Linked DNA regions of Drosophila melanogaster. The protein of the gene in region 2 interacts with the protein of the main gene of each other region in a pairwise test. Each region holds a gene or a part of one and is shown on either strand. Other genes may lie near its edges.

Evidence for each region.
Region 1: the proteins of EbpIII (region 2) and sphe interact in a two-hybrid assay, tested with the Drosophila melanogaster proteins (one large-scale study listed by BioGRID).

The regions. Positions count from the first base shown.
Region 1 is NC_004354.4:16,699,395-16,703,958, forward strand, and holds sphe (spheroide), read right to left. Parts: upstream 2,579-4,564; 5' UTR 2,504-2,578; coding exon 2,283-2,503; intron 2,019-2,282; coding exon 1,490-2,018; 3' UTR 1,052-1,489; downstream 1-1,051. Other genes in the region: CG9676 (uncharacterized protein), read right to left, coding at 1-462, 518-744; CG9673 (uncharacterized protein), read right to left, coding at 3,562-4,114, 4,236-4,468.
Region 2 is NT_033778.4:24,024,283-24,028,756, forward strand, and holds EbpIII (ejaculatory bulb protein III), read left to right. Parts: upstream 1-1,889; 5' UTR 1,890-2,019; intron 2,020-2,093; 5' UTR 2,094-2,216; intron 2,217-2,263; exon of another isoform or gene 2,264-2,334; intron 2,335-2,400; exon of another isoform or gene 2,401-2,721; 5' UTR 2,722-2,732; coding exon 2,733-3,113; 3' UTR 3,114-3,236; downstream 3,237-4,474. Other genes in the region: Ak2 (adenylate kinase 2), read left to right, coding at 37-138, 618-854, 918-1,085, 1,150-1,365; HSPC300 (haematopoietic stem/progenitor cell protein 300), read right to left, coding at 3,733-3,842, 4,332-4,452. UniProt on the Drosophila melanogaster protein: Protein component of the posterior mating plug.

The DNA of each region.
Region 1 (4,564 bases), on a different chromosome or scaffold from region 2:
GCTCGTCCGCAGCCACCGATGACGAAACTGGCCAAGCCGACCAGTTTGCCCTGGTAGGTGGCCGGACCACCGGAATCCCCGTAGCAGGCACCCTTATCCTTGGGATGCAGCAGGCACATCGTGGTTTCCGGCAGCTGGCGTAAGTACGTCTTCTGGCAAGATTCCCGGGATAGGGCCTTCACCTGCACGTAGAGCAGGGAGTTGGAGATCGGTCCGCGCTGGGAGATGGCGCCCCAGCCGGAGATGTCCACGGTGGCATCGTTGGGCGGATCTTCGGTGGCCAGCTTGATGGCGGCTATGTTGGAGTTAAAGGTCAGCGAGTTGCGAAGTCGCAGCACGGCGACATCGTGGCCATTGGAGTTGTAATTGGGATGCACGGTGACGGTGGCCACTGGAACGCGAACTCCTCCGCTGGAAAGGAGCAGGCTGCCCGCCTGAATCTCCAGCTCATTAGCTGGAGCTCTAAGGGCAAGCACTCTGATTGAGAAACGCGAAATCCCGAAGATTCAATACCTACACATTGTTGCCTTGCTTAACGCAATGGGCGGCGGTGACAACGTAGTCCTTGGAGATTATGGAGCCACCACAAGTGTGGCTTCCACGTCGACGTAGTGAGATCTGGTGAGGAAACTGACCCTCCCTCGCCTTGGTGCCGCCCACAATGCGGGGCTCCACTACGGAATCGTTTTGTGCCAGGACTCCGGCTGCGCAAAGGACGAGTAGAGATGTCCAGAATGGTAACATGACTGGTTGGGCTTAGCTAACTGAAAAGCAGTGCTCACTGCAAGTTTCACTGGATGTATATATATATATATGTATATGTATGCATATATACTACCCAAATCTAAGACGCTCATCATCATTAGTTCCTTAAAATGTCAAAGTCAATGTCGCTATCGAGCTGCTGCCTAATTTAGTTTAGTTACCCCATTTCGTTCGCAAATGAAGCCCCTCTAATTACAAGGGGTGTGCAACGCACGGTGGTAAGAGTTTGGAGGTCAAAGTTGGACGAAAAGGGTTAAGGAAGCACGAAAATGTTTAAACGAAATTTGCCGAAAGTTTCCTATTGCATAATTATTGCACATTTATTATAATTATTAGATCTTAAAGTGCAGATCTCTTCAGTTTCGAACAGCAAAAGAAGGCATTTAAAAAAAAGGTTTGGTTTTGGATTTTGAAAAGTCTTCAAGTTTCCTTATATAACTAATTGTAGGCCCAAATTACGTAAAGCTTGCCTAAATTGACCCTAAAACCGGAATGCTTTATCGATGACTCGAGTTCTGGGCTATAAAAGCCATGCCATTGAGGTCATAAATACAATAAATAAGCATGCTTAGTTAGCGATTATTACGTTAACCACAAGTCCAGTGGCAATCACCGATCCTTATCCTTATCAAAATCAAACTATTGAGTCATTTTGCCCGCTTTGAGTTTGGGAAAATAGTTTCTATTTTGTTAGCTTGTGAAGGAAAAACGGGATGAAACGGATCTAGGCGATCTGCTCCTGGATCCAATCCGCGTAGCTGGAGAGTCGGACAAAGACATCCGGATAGCGGGAGCCACAGGCGCCCACCACAAAGTTGGTCAGCCCGATCAACGTGTTGCCATAGATGGCACCACCGCCTCCGTCTCCGTGGCAGGTGCCCTCCTTCAGCTCGTGGGCGAGGCAGAAGCTCTGCTCGTCGTGATCGCTGTACGCATCCAGGCAGGTCGCCTCCGGGGCCACCTTTAGCGATATCTGACGGATCTTGTAGGAGTTGGTGCCGTCGCTGGTGCGTCCCCAGCCGGCCACGATCACCTCCGATCCCTCGGCGGGCAGTGCCTCTCCGCTGGCGACCAGCGGGATGGCAGTGATCCGATCGGTGTAGGTCAGCTCAGAGCTCAGCGTGATCACGGCCAGGTTGTTGTTCAGATTATAGTAGTCCGGATGCACTGCAACCGATTCCACGTTGACAATCTTGCCACCAGCATACTGGTTGGTACTGCCCACGCGGCACGCCAGGCGACTGGCATCGATTCTGTTGGGGATTTCGTGAGAATAATCTAGATTACTTTATCAAGACTTTTGTATTGAATGTATTGTATATAATGGTTTAAACAAAAAGGGAATACATGGTTATTCGAGGCATAGGCCATCTTCAAATATCACTCATTCGCCTAGTTGTACAAACCAAACTACATATTTGCTACTTCCACTATTTAAGAGCACTTAATATTAATAATATGAATCAATTAATTAGTAGTAAAAATTAATTAATTAGTAGATTGACTTTGGTACTCACAGCTTTCCATCGCGATGCACACAGTGGGCGGTGGTCAGGATTTTGGTCTGGGAGAGAATGCTACCGCCGCACACATGGGCATTGTCCACCCGCAAGGAGGCGGTGAAGGTCGTGGCTGTGGCGTCCGCGTCCTCCCCTCCCATGATGCGTCCCTGGGCGTGGCACATGCCCACCGCCGTCAATCCGATCAGACCCAAAATCACTAGTCTCGGCTGCATCATTTTGTTCCTGTATTTTTTTTTTGGTTTTTTATTTGGTGGTTCTGCTACCCACGGCAGTTGGAATGAAAATGCGCAATGCCAGCGACGAGAATATAAGAGACTAGCTCCATATAACTACCACCTCCTCCACCTTCTACCCGAAGTTCTCCACCACTTCCTTGACCAATCCTTATCTTCGGCTTGGGCATCAGAGAAAATCTAATCTTATCGCCTTATGGCAATGGCTTTATGCCGCTATAGACTATTGTTACTTGTTAGTTCACCGATTAATTGGCACATAAATAGAAAATTGCACAAGTCGGTTGAAGGGAAGTCCAAATAAACCAAACGACCAGTGTCCAGTGACAGTACAACTACAACCATCTATAGGAGATAATGATGAGTAACACATGACTCAGGGGAGCTACGGAAATTAGGGTGCTTCAGGTCTCAGAATAATCTAAAATCAGTCGTGGAAAACTTTGGATTTTTTGAGTTGCTCTTTCAATAAAATGTCTAAACATTTTGGTGTTAATTAAACTCTATAAAATTGCCTTGAATGTAAGCAAATTATCAACGTATTTAGTAGGAATTACCCTTTAGCTTGGCGATAACAAATCTGGATTATAAAGATTTAGCCCAGTCATTGGCGATTGATCAAGCTAGCTGCACAAAAGTTTGGTTCCCAGGTTGATTACGGCGATTTCCTTCGATCTCTATCTAAATGTTCTGTTAAATAGCCATACTCTCTAATATATATGACTCCATAAACAATAATAGCCAATTGTTGTGACCATTTACTTGGCAATTTTGTTAGATAATCCTTGACGGCATCCCATAAATTAGAAACAGGTTTCAAGGTAATTTCTTAGTAATTAAAGAACCTTTGAACGGCGCCAATTAAATGTTATTCTATCGATTGTAGCTTTATGACCAGCACTAAATTCCATATAGTTTGCATCCATATAAAGTTAAAAACACAAAACGTTTTTTTTTGTAGAGGGAGTAACACACTTTATGCACATGAAAAAAATGTATAAAAAAATAAAGGGTAGTCCTTGGATGGCGAACCAAAAGTTTTACTGGGTATTGGCCTCGATCCAGGTTAGGTAGTAGGAGACACGGGTGGCCACATCCGGATACTTGCTGCCGCAGGGTCCGAAGTTGAAGCTGGTCAAACCGCGAAGCACCTTGTCGTCATCGATGACAGCCGCACCGGCATCCCCACGACAGATGCCCTCGCCCTCGGCTCTCGAGAGGCAGACGACGGATTCGTAGCCGTATCCGGCTTCCCATTCGCACAGGGATCGGCTCAGCGTATTGTAGTTGGCCTTCTGCTGTTTATAGGATGCAGTACCATCCGAAAGTTCACCCCATCCAGCCACATAGACCGGAGTTCCGTTGGGCAGCTCAGCGTCCACATCTTCCGTCTCCTCATCAGTTGTGGGGGGCAGTGCGATGTCTTGGATGCGATCGCTAAAGACCAGGGTCTCGTCCAGCTCCAGTATGGCGATGTCGTGCAGGAAGTTTCCGTACGATGGATGGATGATCACGCTCTTTACATTCACAATGCTGCCGCCGGCGTACTGGTTAATGGTGCCCAGGCGAACAGCCAAGGTGCTGGCATCCACTCTGGGGATTTAGAACAAATAGGGATTAGAACTGGTAGATGAATATATATTCTTAAAGTTCTCAAAGTGAAGTGCTTAGGGAATCCAAGTGTATATAATCATAAAGTGTAGTTAGAACTCACGGGGTGATGCCCACGCTGGACACACAGTGGGCGGCGGTCAGGATGTGGTTTGTTGAGATGATGGCGCCGGAGCAGACGTGGGCCTTGTTGTATCTCACGGATGCGGACCAGGGGTACTCGCCCTGGGCAACGTCCTCGCCGCCAAGAATGCGACCTTGTGGCGAGGCTTCCGCGGAGAGGATCAGGCCAAAGATTAGCAGGCCGAGGCCGAGAGTAATGCGTGGATCAGCCATGGCGATGGATTGGCAACTGAATGGGCCCATCAGCCAACGATCGGTGGTCACCGCCACTTAGCGATCTAATCGATGGGCATTGTATGGCGATAAGGA
Region 2 (4,474 bases):
AGTCCCGAATAATCAGTCGAGCATACGTAGTTAACGATGGCGCCGAATGCAGCAGTACCAGTGGAGCGATATGAGCCTGAGAACATCGGGATCAACGCCATTCTCCTGGGGCCGCCGGGTTCCGGCAAAGGAACGCAGGTGGGTCAAAATTACATAATGATGTGTTTTTTGTGACACGGACGCCATGTAGTCTATAAATAAATACAACGTGTTCAAGTGCGCGGTTTTTGTTTGCAAATAATCGGTGAAGCTCGTTAATTCTCTTGGAAGAGAATTAAAACTGGTGAAGTTATATAAGACGATGTGTACATGGAAATGTATATGTATGTATCTACGTGCCAAGTATGTACATATGCGTCAAGCAGTGTCTTTCTCTTGACCCTGAATCAAATCAAAGCCTTGGCGAGATGTGGCGAATTAAGTGGAACACCTTTAGGCAATCGATTGGGTATTATGCAGACCATCTATTAAAAGGCTACCAGAACATTCCTGGCCTCAAGAAATGCATCTTATCTAGCCGATTGGTTACCTTGCTTACCTTCCGATATGGTGCTAAATTGATTAATTGATTAGCTCTAACTGAAACTTATCAATGTTTTTAATTATGCCCATTTCAGGCTCCCCTGCTGAAGGAGAAGTTCTGCGTGTGCCACCTGTCGACCGGCGACATGCTGCGGGCGGAGATTTCATCCGGTTCGAAGCTGGGAGCCGAGTTGAAGAAGGTCATGGATGCCGGCAAACTGGTCTCCGACGACCTGGTCGTGGACATGATCGACTCCAACCTGGACAAGCCCGAGTGCAAGAATGGATTCCTCCTGGACGGATTCCCCAGGACTGTCGTTCAAGCTGAGAAGGTAGCCACACGTGTGAAGCACTTTGGACTTTAGGTTATAATCCGTTCGAAACGCACTTTGCAGCTCGACACATTGCTGGACAAGAGGAAAACCAACTTGGATGCTGTCATCGAGTTTGCCATCGACGACAGTCTGTTGGTGAGGCGCATCACTGGCCGCTTGATCCACCAGGCCAGCGGGCGTTCGTATCACGAAGAGTTTGCCCCTCCAAAGAAGCCAATGACGGACGATGTAAGTATCTCTATAGGACGCTATCCAAGAACTCTAAATGAAAGCAGACCTTGTGTACTTGCAGGTCACTGGAGAGCCCCTAATCCGTCGCAGCGATGACAACGCCGAGGCTCTGAAGAAGCGACTGGAAGCATATCACAAGCAGACAAAGCCGCTGGTCGACTACTACGGCCTGAGGGGTCTGCACTTCAAGGTGGACGCCGCCAAGAAGTCCAGCGACGTCTTCTCCACCATCGACTCTATATTCCAACGCAAGCGTCCTGCCCAGATCCAGTTATGATTTGTTCCTGCGCAATGATCAACTACTGATAACTGCCTCCTGACAATTTATTTCGAGACACACACAACGTTTAAGCCTAAAGTTATAGTTGCATCCGGAAATCCTGAACAAACGAAATTACCTTTGCAGGTCGACTACTTTCCTTGTACAGATTTCTAAAGTGTATGTGTTTGTTACTTTTTACATTTCACTATTTGTAACTACAATACAATTTAATAAAAAAATCGAAGGAAACAAGTACATTTTACGAGACATGACTGCTTTAAACTGGGCTGCGTTCGAATGAGGGATGGACGACGCCAAGTTCAAACTTCCACACAATTGTTTTCCGGAAAGCTTCTGGAATATGATGCGGCTGACTCAGTTTCGAATCGAGGTTTTTAGCGTTTGATGGATAGCTACTAATTGTTCCGAGAACTATTTATTATTGCAATCAACTTTAAAGCGACTATTAAAGGGTCATGTTGCACGGGTCTCAAGTGTAACAAATGAGAAATTGCTAATGGAAATCGCTAATGAGATCGTTAAATCTGGTAAACAAATAACATATCGCCAAGTTAGCCCGTCCATCGTGGCTGCGAATCTCTCGCAGAGCGACTTTCGATCGCCGTTTAGTACTCAGACGTCACCTGCCTAATGTTAATGTCAATTTAAGTGTGTATAACTATCGCACATATATTATATAAATTTATAACGACGATTGACTAATCACTGGGTTGACTTTTCAGCAATAGCGATTTTCGCTTCAAAGTCTAAAGTGTGTGCAATCCCGTATGGATACGAGCCGAGCTCGAACACAGGCTCACAGCGCGCGGTTTGTGTTGTGTATTACACTTGAAGTTCAATCCCAGGTAAAAAGTGGGCCCAGGTATAAAAGCCCACTTCATAGAAACATTTCTCAGTTAGTTCCAGCAGCTGAATTGCTTCACATCTATTCGCTCCGAGTCGCCCCACAAGTCGAGCCCCATTGTAAGACCACCGCACCGTTTATAGTTTTTGGAGCCGATCGGCTCGGCTGGTCGACTGGTGGCTGGTAGTAGTCCACACACTCATGGACGCAGCCAGACGGGCAACCAGTTTCATTGTGTATAAACAGTGACATCTTTTCAGACAGCGAATGTGTTTCAGATACGCATACAAAGTGGCCTGCCTGGCTGTGCATTAATTTGCATACAAATCCCATAAGTCCACAGATACATTTTGCGAATGCAGTCGCGCTCGATGGCTAGTAAAAATATTTTTCCATTGCCCAGTAAAATCCCCTGCGCACAAAACTGGTTGCCCGACCAACAGACCCACTAAGCCACAAAAGTGCTGATTAATCGTACAAACATACTTACCCCAATTCGCCCGCAGAAAACTCCAAGATGAAGATGATACTTGCGCTTGTCGTCCTTGGACTGGTGCTGGTCGCCGCCGAGGATAAGTACACCACCAAGTACGACAACATCGACGTCGACGAGATCCTGAAGTCGGACCGCCTCTTCGGAAACTACTTCAAGTGCCTGGTGGACAACGGAAAGTGCACCCCGGAGGGCCGGGAGCTCAAGAAGTCCCTGCCGGACGCCCTGAAGACGGAGTGCAGCAAGTGCAGCGAGAAGCAGCGCCAGAACACCGACAAGGTCATTCGCTACATCATCGAAAACAAGCCCGAGGAGTGGAAGCAGCTGCAGGCCAAGTACGATCCCGATGAGATCTACATCAAGCGCTACCGCGCCACCGCCGAGGCCTCGGGAATCAAGGTGTAAGGCGGATCCCGGTTCCGGAAACTCTTGGTTATATGCACTGTTAATTAGGTCTACGCTTATATCTGATCATCAAAATTATTTCTACGATCGTGCTCGGAATAAAGAGATTTGTTTTTTTACCATACACCTGCCGAGTATTATATCGTTATCGAAGGGGGATTTGCCAGGCTTCAGAGAGTATATAAATTAACTATGACAAATGTAGCACTTAAGTCTAGCCTCCTGCTACTAGAACGATGATTAATCTAAGCACAATTAAGGTCTTAGAAAAAACATTCACAAGATTACGACTAGACCCTAATAAGCGGCTTATATATGGCGGGCGATTTGCATTAACATTGACAATAAAGGCAGCTACGGTTAGTTGGCAAAAACATCGCGTGCTTGTCTTGGTTCTGAGCTATTACTTATATTATTCTTAAAAGGGGCAATGAATCGAATCCGATGGCCGCAAGTAACTCAGCCGTGAAAACCTTCCTTCAAAGAACAAACAAACAATGTACAGCGAATTATTAATGTCACGGCAATTCACATTGCGAATCAAAAGATATTAAATATTAAATCAGTATTTTAATTACTTATAAATGTACAAAGCTTAGTATAAGGTTGTGGGCAGCGTTTACGTTAATGTTTCACCCTGGGCGACGCACGCCTCCAGATAGTCTATGCGCCGCTCCAGGATCGTTAGTTTTTCGTTCAGCACCGCCAGACGGGAGCGACAGGACATATCTGAAAGGATATGATAGCACACGATGATACAGTTTATAATGCCAACAGTGTACATAAACCCTATTAAGGATATGGGATATTTTAGCAACCCAACTACCTCGCACTCTTTGGCTTATCATTTATCACAGTATTTAGCGTATCTTAAATTATGCATAGAGCAACCGAAAAAGCTTATCCAATTCATTTAGGTGACTAATTCGGATAGAGATAAAGCCGAATTTTCGTTTTGAGCCCTCCGATGATGTTACATACATACATTTCCATATGTATGTAGATACATATATTGCTATACATATATGCCACCACGCACAAACCACTGTTTGTTTCTATAGACTTAAGACTTGAGTAAATAAAGTCATTGTCACTGATGAATATTTGTTAGTAATATTACTTATGCGTTCACCCACACCTACAAAGGAAGTGATAATAAACACGCGCACACACACATGCGTCAGAGGGAAGTGGGTGCTTCGTATGCAGGTTGCTTACCGAAAGAGTTCAGAAAGTCGGTGATTCTCTTTATGCTGGCAGTTATCACTTCGATATACTCCCTGTTCGCCCAGTCCTGGTGGATCTGCTTTTGGATCGCCTCTCTGTGAGCCCCACTCATCTTTATTTATTCCTATTGTTTC